Oryctolagus cuniculus: one gene and its partner. The protein of the gene in region 1 interacts with the protein of each later gene in a pairwise test. Links are inferred from orthologs where the notes say so. Each region holds a gene or a part of one and is shown on either strand. Other genes may lie near its edges.

Region 1 (4,069 bases):
CCAGGAGCCAGGTGCTTCCTCCTGGTCTCCCACACGGGTGCAGGACCCAAGGACTTGGGCCACAGCAGAGAGCTGGACTGGAAGAGGAGCAACCGGGACAGAATCCAGTGCCCCGACCAGGACCAGAATCCAGGGTGCTGGCGCCGCAGGCAGAGGATTAGCCTATTGAGCCACGGCGTGGCTTATTATGTGTACTTTTAACATCTTAAATGCTGTAGGGGAGACTTTGTGTTTGTTAGCATGTATTCTCATAGGTTGTCTATACATGACAATTCAAGACTATGTAACTATGGGTGTAAATTTCAGAAGGTGTGAGCAAGTCATAAAAAGTTTTAAGAAAAGTTTACAATTTTAAAACATTGTTCATAGAGTTTTCTTTTTTAAAAAGATTTATTTATTTATTTGAAAGTCAGAGTTACACAGAGAAAGAGGAGAAGCAGAGAGAGAGAGAGAGAGAGAGAGAGAGAGAGAGGTCTTCCATCTGCTGGTTCACTCCCCAATTGGCTGCAACGGCTGGAGCTGTGCTGACCGGAATCCAGGAGCCAGGAGCTTCTTCCAGGTCTCCCATGCGGGTGCAGGGTCCCAAGGACTTGGGCCATCTTCTTTCTGCTTTCCCAGGCCATAGCATAGAGCTGGATCGGAAGTGGAGCAGCTGGGTCTCAAACTGGCATCCATGTGGGATGCTGGCGCTTCAGACCAGGGCGTTAACCCGTTGCGCCACAGCATCGGCCCCAAGTTTTCTACAAGTTGAATGTGAATGCCAAAATTACATTGACCCAAGATTGAAGTCCAATCTTCTGTTATGACAACGAGGTTTTTGAAAAATGCATATTAATATGTTAGTAAATATCCATATCATTGCTTGGTTCCAGTCCTGGCTGCTCTACTTCTTTTTTTCTTTTAAATTTTTATTTATTTAAAAGAGTGACACAACACACACACACAGAAAGAGGTCTTCCATCTGCTGGTTCACTTCCTCACTTCCTTTGGGTCTCCCACAGGGGTGCAGGGGCCCAAGTACTTGGGCCATCTTCTGGCCCAGGCCATAGCAGAGAGCTGGATTGGAAGTGGAGCAGCGCCTCACTGTTACCTTACAACCATATCTTGGATCCGTTATTGGGTTTGTTCTTGTTAGCTGTTATCTTACTCGGACCAGCGCCCATAAGGGATGCCGGCACTGCAGGGGGCAGCTTTACCAGCTATGCCACAGCGCCGGCCCCGGCCCCGCCTGCTCTACCTCTAATCCAGCTTCTTGCTAATGTGCCTGGGAAGGCAGCAGAAGATGGCTTTGTCTACGCAGCCGGAGCTCGGCCAGCGCCGCCCCGCCTCGCCTGTAGCCCCGCCCCCTGCCCCGCCCCCTGCCCCGCCCCGCGCCTCCCCGCGCACCCGGAACTCCGCGTCGCAGTCGCGTTGCTGGAGGGGCCAATTTGGTCCCGGACTCTGCGCCCTACGCGGGTTCCGGCGGCGAAGGCGGAGCATGGCGGTGAGCGTGGCGGAGGCGCGCGCGCTGCGGGCCCCTGGGCTGCTGGCGGCCTCCAGTGACCCTGATGCTGCCCTCTTCTCTTCAGGCCCCAGGACGTCCTGCTCGCGAGGCCTCTGCGGCCTCAGGCTCAGGTACCGCCTGCGCGCCACGCAGACCCCGGGCCCCTGGCGCGGTTCCGGTGCCCCGAGTACTTCCCCTGTTTCCGTGCAGGGCGACCCACGTGCGGTGCCGCCGCCCGCAAAGCGAACCCCGCAGTCTCTGAGGGCAGTGCCGCCTCCAGGAAGTCCAAGAAGAAAATCCGGGACAGGGCTCCTGCGGCGAACGGAGGCCAGACGGCTTCGGAGCAGCCCGCTCCAGAGGAAGCCTCGCGAAGTGCCGAGGCGCAGGCAAGGGGGTCTCCCGGTGGCGTCTAGAAATCAGCCTTGTGGAGGCAAGGAAGGGCCTGGGGCGGCAGGTCCCGGTGCCTGCCCTCAGCCCCTCTCTCCACCCGTCTCAGGCGGAGCAGCTGGCCCGAGAACTGGCCTGGTGCGTGGAGCAGTTGGAGCTGGGCCTCCAGACGCGGAAACCCACCCTGAAGCAGAGTGAGTGGGGGTGTGGCGGTGGCGGCGCTGGGTGAGAGGAGGTGGGTACAGAGCGGGGGACTGGCCTTTTCTCTTATGCGCAGGAGAGCAGGCTGTCGGGGCCATACGAACCCTGCGCAGCGACAGGACGCCCCTGCCCCGGAAGCGGCAGCTGATGCGTGCCCTGTTTGGAGACTACAGGGCTCAGATGGATGCCGAGCGTCTGGAGGCCCTGCGGTCTCTTAGGGCTGGTGAGGAGCTTTGCGTTTTGGGATGTCCGGTTCAATAGAGAGGAAGGGCTTAGGGAGTGCATCTCTGACGCTGGTGGGGATGGAGTTGAGCTCAGGGAAGCCTGGGCGGGGCGGAAGTGTGGAGCCCTCAGCAAAGCAGAACTGGGCCTGGGCGCAGGGGGCAGAGGTTCTCGGAGGGGAAGGAGCCTGGCCCACAGCTGGCCCTGCCTCACCTTCCATGCAGCAGTTAGTAAGTCCTGGAACCAGCCATCCACCTTGCTCCAGTCCTGAAGCTACCACTTAGGTCGTTAGCACCCTTGGCAAGTTCTAGTTCTCTCCGTGATTCTGTAAGTCATGATAGGAACTGCCTTAGGATTCTCAAGATCAGTTGATTTCTGCTGAGGGTCAGGGTTGCATGAGCAGTCGTAACTGCACAGGTGCTGTTTGCTGTTACTCAGTCCTGACTCTGATGCCCTCTGCCCCCCCCCCCCCAGCTGCTCGGTCTGCCCAGGTGCAGCCTGTGGGTGAGGCCACCAGAAAGAAGAGCCGAAAGGTCTGCAGGCCACGTCCAGTGGGAGGCGCCAAGGCCACTGTGGATACTCCTGATGAAGAGTTTAGGTTCAATTTCTTTTAGCCTCTCCCCCATCAAAGAACAACCCCGGGATGTTGTCTTGAGTGCAGAGACTTTCCAGGAGGTCTCTGTTGGCAGAGGTCAGCTTCGTCTACAGCAGGGCTGTTGGGCTGCTGTGAGTGTCAGACAAGTGCAAGCCCCCATTTGTATGTTTTTGGATGACATGCCCCTCCTGGCATGAGAGAGAGAGAGAGGAAAATCTACAGGAAACAGAAATGAGTGTCATGAAAAGAATAATGTACTTTATTGGTTTTTCAGGCTTGGTTAAGTGCTCCTGGTAATAAGGATTAGTGGTGAAGCTACCTAATTGTACGCTGGGGCTCAGTTTTGAAAATAAGCCCATTAAATATTTCATTGCTTTATACCATTTTGTCTTATTGCCTCAGTCTCCACTTTTGATGGAAGTGGATGATTGAAAGAATGCTGAACATCTCTGTCTGAGGAAGTACACGAGCTGAGGGCCCAGCATAGTTGGGTCCAGGACCTCACCCGACGTGTGGTCCCTTGTCCTTGTTGCCCTCGTGAGCAGTGTTATCCCCAGGGCCGCTGTGGGTCCCAGCAGCACAGGCTGTTCAGAACACTGCGTCAGGCCCAACATCTCCGTCTGTCTTTTGCTTTCTGGTCAGTGGTGCTTCTGCCCACCTGGCTGCTTAGGTGGCAAACTTGTCATCTCCCTTTTTCAACACACGTCAGTACTTGAATGGTTGTCAGATCTGCGTCTCATCTGCACTGCTGCTCTTGGTTCCGGCCCCAGGTCTCAACCATGACTGCTGTGTTGGCCTGATGTCTGCTGCGTTGCCGCTCTGTGGGTGTGTCGGCTCATGGTTCTCCTGACTGAATGGCTTCATTAAACCCAGACTACGGTATGAAAACTGACACACAAGGCCTTAGGGCAGGAGCGTCACGATGGCTCTGACATAACCTCCCGCCCTTGTTCCAGCCTCTCTGGTTTCTTGTTTACTCCTGAAATAACCAAACGTTATCCTGCCTCAGGGTTTTCAGCATTACTGCTCATTTTATGTGGGTTTCCTTGACTGGCTCCTGGGAAAGCAAATATCAACGGGCTTCGTCCATTGTTTACTAGGCGAGGTAATATCCTGTGAAGAGACTCAGCAGTGTTCACAGGAAGTGGTTCCCGCTTGGGCACAGTGCAGATGTAAAGTGT
Region 2 (4,063 bases), on another chromosome or scaffold:
TCCTCCTCCTCCTCCTCTTCTTCTTCCTCCTCCTCCTCCTCTTCCTCTCCTTCCTCTTCCTCCTCCTCCTCCTCTTCCTCCTCATCTTCAGAGTCTGAGTACAGCTGAAGGAGATCATCTCTCAAGTTCACCTGCTGTCTGAGGTGTAAAATCTGGTAGAAGGAGAGAGGAGCTGTGGGCGGGGGCAGGGGCAGGGGCAGGGGCAGGGGCAGGGGCAGGGGCAGGGCCCTGCTCAAGGAGGGAGTAGGCCGGCCCCCCTCTCCAAGCCTCCCACCCTGTCACCTCCTCCCCGGCCCCCCTCTCCACACCTCCCACCCTGTCACCTCCTCCCTGGCCCCCACCTCCACACCTCCCACCCTGTCACCTCCTCCCTGGCCCCCACCTCCACACCTCCCACCCTGTCACCTCCTCCCTGACCCCCACCTCCACACCTCCCACCCTGTCACCTCCTCCCTGGCCCCCACCTCCACACCTCCCACCCTGTCACCTCCTCCCTGACCCCCACCTCCACACCTCCCACCCTGTCACCTCCTCCCCAGCCCCCACCTCCACACCTCCCACCCTGTCACCTCCTCCCTGGCCCCCACCTCCACTCCTCCTGCCCTGTCACCGGCCTCCCCAGCCCCGCCTCCACGCCTCCCGCCCTGTCACCTCCTCCCTGGCCGAGCCCAGCATGGCTTCCAACTTGCTGTTCTCCTCCATGAGCACGCTGTTCTGTTTCACCAGGGACTGGCCGATACGAGCCGCCGTGTTCAGGTCGCGCTCTCTCTGCAGAGAGACCCCCGCCTGTGGTGACTGCTTTCCCCATTGTCAAGCTCTCCCAGACGGGAGGGAGAGGCTCGGAGGTGCACAGGGGGCAGCAGGAGGCCAGGACTTCAGGGGAAACCCCCCCATCCTGCAGTTCTCAATGTGCCCGGCCGGAGTCTGCCACTAACCCACCATGGGACCCGACTCAGTGAGTGCCCCTTATGGAAAAAGGCAGTTCTAACCAGCCTGGCTGGGCGCTCTCCCCTAGCCTGAACATCCTGTATCCACTGCCTTCCAGAAGACCAACCGTCCTCCCCTCCCCGCTGGGTTGCCAGAGACTCAGGCAGGCAGGAAACAGACTAGACCCTTCCAGGCTACTTGGCAGAACTAAAGGGGGTGGGGGAGACTGGCTAGGGCTCGGGGCTGGCCTGCCTGGGAAGTGGGTACACACCTCCTCCAGCAAATACAGCATCACTTTGATATCGTCTTGGGTGATCTTCTTGGCTGGGGGTAGGTTAGGGCACAGCGCTGCGGGAGGCACAGGCAGTCAGGAACCAGGGAAGCTATGCCTCCAGGCGCCCACTGGAGTCCACACGGGGGTCGTGGAGGGAGGGCACTGGGCCACTTTCCTGCCCCAACATCCTCCCCCAGTACTCATCCACCCCCCAGTATTCAGCCCCTGCCTCCAGGGGCCAACTGGACCAGACTCCCGCCCCCATAGCGAGATCTGGGTAAAGCGAGGGAGTGGCAGTCCTCGGGGCTCAGGAACTGGACTCCCAGGCCACCCGGGTCCCCGCACCTAGGAGGCAGCATGGGAGCACAGCCACGCACTGGCTCCATGAAGCCGCGCGAGTCGCAGAAACAGACTCAGTCCCCACCCTGCACCTGTTGCGCACTGACAGGAGGGGAGGGAGAGACTTCCAGAACCGAGACAGGGGTACCCAGACCGGAGGTCTGCCCCGCCCCGACTCAGAATAGGACGGAGACAAGAAGAGGGGCAGATGCCAGGCTGGGCGGGAGCGCGACCTAGACTCCCCTGGCCCCTAGAAGTCCAGAAGTGCGCAACGCTTGCCCCTCCGCCCACCAGCTCTGGGTCGCCGGCGAGCCCTGTGGGCCAGCGCAGGCTCAGAGCGCGCCTGGCGGCGCCCTCCCGCAGCCCCCCGCCCCTCTCCTGGCATTGCAGTAGACGGGGAGGGGGCACTGAGAGCGCGCAGATCCGCTGCAGCAACAGGCGCCCGAAGCGGCGGGGGAGCTTCGGGCCCTAGCCCGGACGCACCCGCGGGAATCAGGGAGCCACCGGGGAGCAAGAGATAGGAAGGGGGCGGCCAGACAGCGCTTCAGACAGGACACCGCCGGGGGGGGGGGGGGGGGGTAGCCGGCTGGGACCGAGAGCCGGGGGCGGGGCTCTCGGACTCGACGGGGCCCCTTCTCCCCGGAGCTGCGAGGGTCCCGCCCGTCCCGGGTCCCCGGGGACCTGGTTACCTTCCTGCAGCTCCCGGATGAAAGCGGCGCGCTCAGGGCCAGACACCCCGGGCCGCCGGCCAATGTAGGCGGCCGGCGTTTCCCAGATGCCAGCAGCCTTTCCACGTCCCAGGCCCGTGGCCCGGGGACCAAAGGGCCCTTGAAACACAAAGCGGGTCCAGGGCGCGTCCCCGTGTTCGGCCCAAAATGCAGCCGCGCGCTGGGCTCGGGACTTGGTCCCGGACTGGGGCCCGGAGGCTGCTCCGGGTCCGGCCCCCGGTGCCTGCGCGGGGCTGGGTTCGGGCTCGGCCGAAGGCTCTGGAGCGGGGCCGGCTGCGGGCGGGGGTTCGGGGATGACCGCTGCTGGATCCCCAGGGCCGGGGCCGGGGCCGGACTCCAGCCCATCGCCGGCGCAGCCCTGCCCCTGCTCCTTCGGGCGCATCTCGACTCCGCAGTCCGCTGCCGCAGCCGGTGCTTTATAACCTGCGCGCGGAACCGGTACCCCCGGGCCGTGCCACGCGTGGGGACGGGGGTGGCCGAGAATGAGGCGGCGGGACAGAGCGCGCGCGGGGGCAGAGCGGAGGACGCAGGCAGAAGCCGGGCTGCGAGGAGAGTGCGGCGTAGCGTCCCGCCCGCCCCGCGGGCGGGGGCTCAGAGTGAGGGTTTCTGCCCTCTCTCCCCCATCTCTGGAGAATGGTTCCTCCCAAAGCCGCTGCCTCCCGAGAACTCTCGGACGAGACTCCAGCCAGGTCTCCAGCTACTAGCGCCCACCGCCTCCGCGGCCTCCGCGGCCTCCACTCCCGCCTTCCCTGGGTCGCGCCCGCCTGGGTGACCGGTGGGCGCGGCGGTGTCGTGCCTTTTGCGGTGAGCGGGGGACCGTGCGCAGCCAGCAACGCCGCCGACTTGGCTTTGTCTGCCTCCTGCCAGCCTGGCAGACACCTGTTCTGTCCTTGGGCGACTTCCCTGAGCGTCCCCGGTGAGCCGTGGGGCAGGCGAGAGGGGGCCCTGGCTGGCCCCTGGGTCACTGCTTCCTCCCAAGCCCCAGGACCGTTCCTGGTGTCCCCGCTGCCTTCTCCTGCACACCCCGGCGCCCAGCCCTACTGAATCAGCCTCTGAAACATCGCTCGAATGCTGGCCTCCTCCTCAGCCCTTCTGCTTCCTCCCATCTCAGACTCAAGGAGGCCGCCCCATCCCGTGTCCCCACATCCTCCCACGGGGTCTCTCATCCGTCTCTAACCCGTCCCCTGGCTCATGCGCCTAAGCCAAGGAGTTCCAGGTGCCCCTGGCCCAGCCGCTGCTCCTAGCCTGAGTCCTACACAGGGTTTGGGGCCCCCACACCCAGGCGAAGCTCCTGGTACCTGTGGGCCCAGGTGATGCAGCTGCAACAGGAGACGCCACCCAGGAGGGATCAGCGTGAGCCCTCCACCTCCTTCCTCTGGGCTCACTTGTTCATTCCACAGATGTGTACAAGGGCCTCCTGTGCGTGTCAGGCCCTGCGTCTGGGGCAAGAGCAGGAACAAGAGAAACCAGATGTCTGTTCCCTCGGAATTCAGAGTCTAAAAAGGAGGCAGACAAGCAAGATAATCACAGGCTGCAGTGAATTCTCAGAAGGAAGCGAACAAGGAGCCACAAAGGAGGAGAGCAAAGCCCCACCTGCAGGTAGGGTGCTGAGAACCCGGCGTTCGCATTTCAGCCCACACCTGCGCGACCCACTCAGATCCCCTCCTCCGCTCAAGCAGGACCTCCCTCTCCCAGAGCCGGTATTGCCCGCTGCCGGCTGCAGGCTGAACGCACCACCTGCCCCCTCGTGCCACACACCCACCACAGCCCCACAGGGATTCACTTGCCCAGCCAT

What was found. The genes of interacting proteins can lie anywhere in the genome.
Region 2: the proteins of C6H8orf33 (region 1) and HAP1 interact in a two-hybrid assay, tested with the Homo sapiens proteins (2 studies listed by BioGRID and IntAct). The link is inferred for Oryctolagus cuniculus from reciprocal best matches to the Homo sapiens genes C8orf33 and HAP1.

The regions. Positions count from the first base shown.
Region 1 is NC_091437.1:168,508,240-168,512,308, forward strand, and holds the start of C6H8orf33 (UPF0488 protein C8orf33 homolog), read left to right. Parts: upstream 1-1,267; 5' UTR 1,268-1,282; coding exon 1,283-1,483; intron 1,484-1,568; coding exon 1,569-1,614; intron 1,615-1,693; coding exon 1,694-1,869; intron 1,870-1,979; coding exon 1,980-2,064; intron 2,065-2,147; coding exon 2,148-2,294; intron 2,295-2,517; coding exon of another isoform or gene 2,518-2,564; exon of another isoform or gene 2,565-2,767; coding exon of another isoform or gene 2,768-2,907; exon of another isoform or gene 2,908-3,266; intron 3,267-3,658; coding exon of another isoform or gene 3,659-3,738; exon of another isoform or gene 3,739-3,767; intron 3,768-4,069.
Region 2 is NC_091448.1:20,960,774-20,964,836, reverse strand, and holds the start of HAP1 (huntingtin-associated protein 1), read right to left. Parts: upstream 2,801-4,063; 5' UTR 2,651-2,800; coding exon 2,230-2,650; intron 1,276-2,229; coding exon 1,199-1,275; intron 769-1,198; coding exon 652-768; intron 153-651; coding exon 1-152. UniProt on the Homo sapiens protein: Originally identified as neuronal protein that specifically associates with HTT/huntingtin and the binding is enhanced by an expanded polyglutamine repeat within HTT possibly affecting HAP1 interaction properties.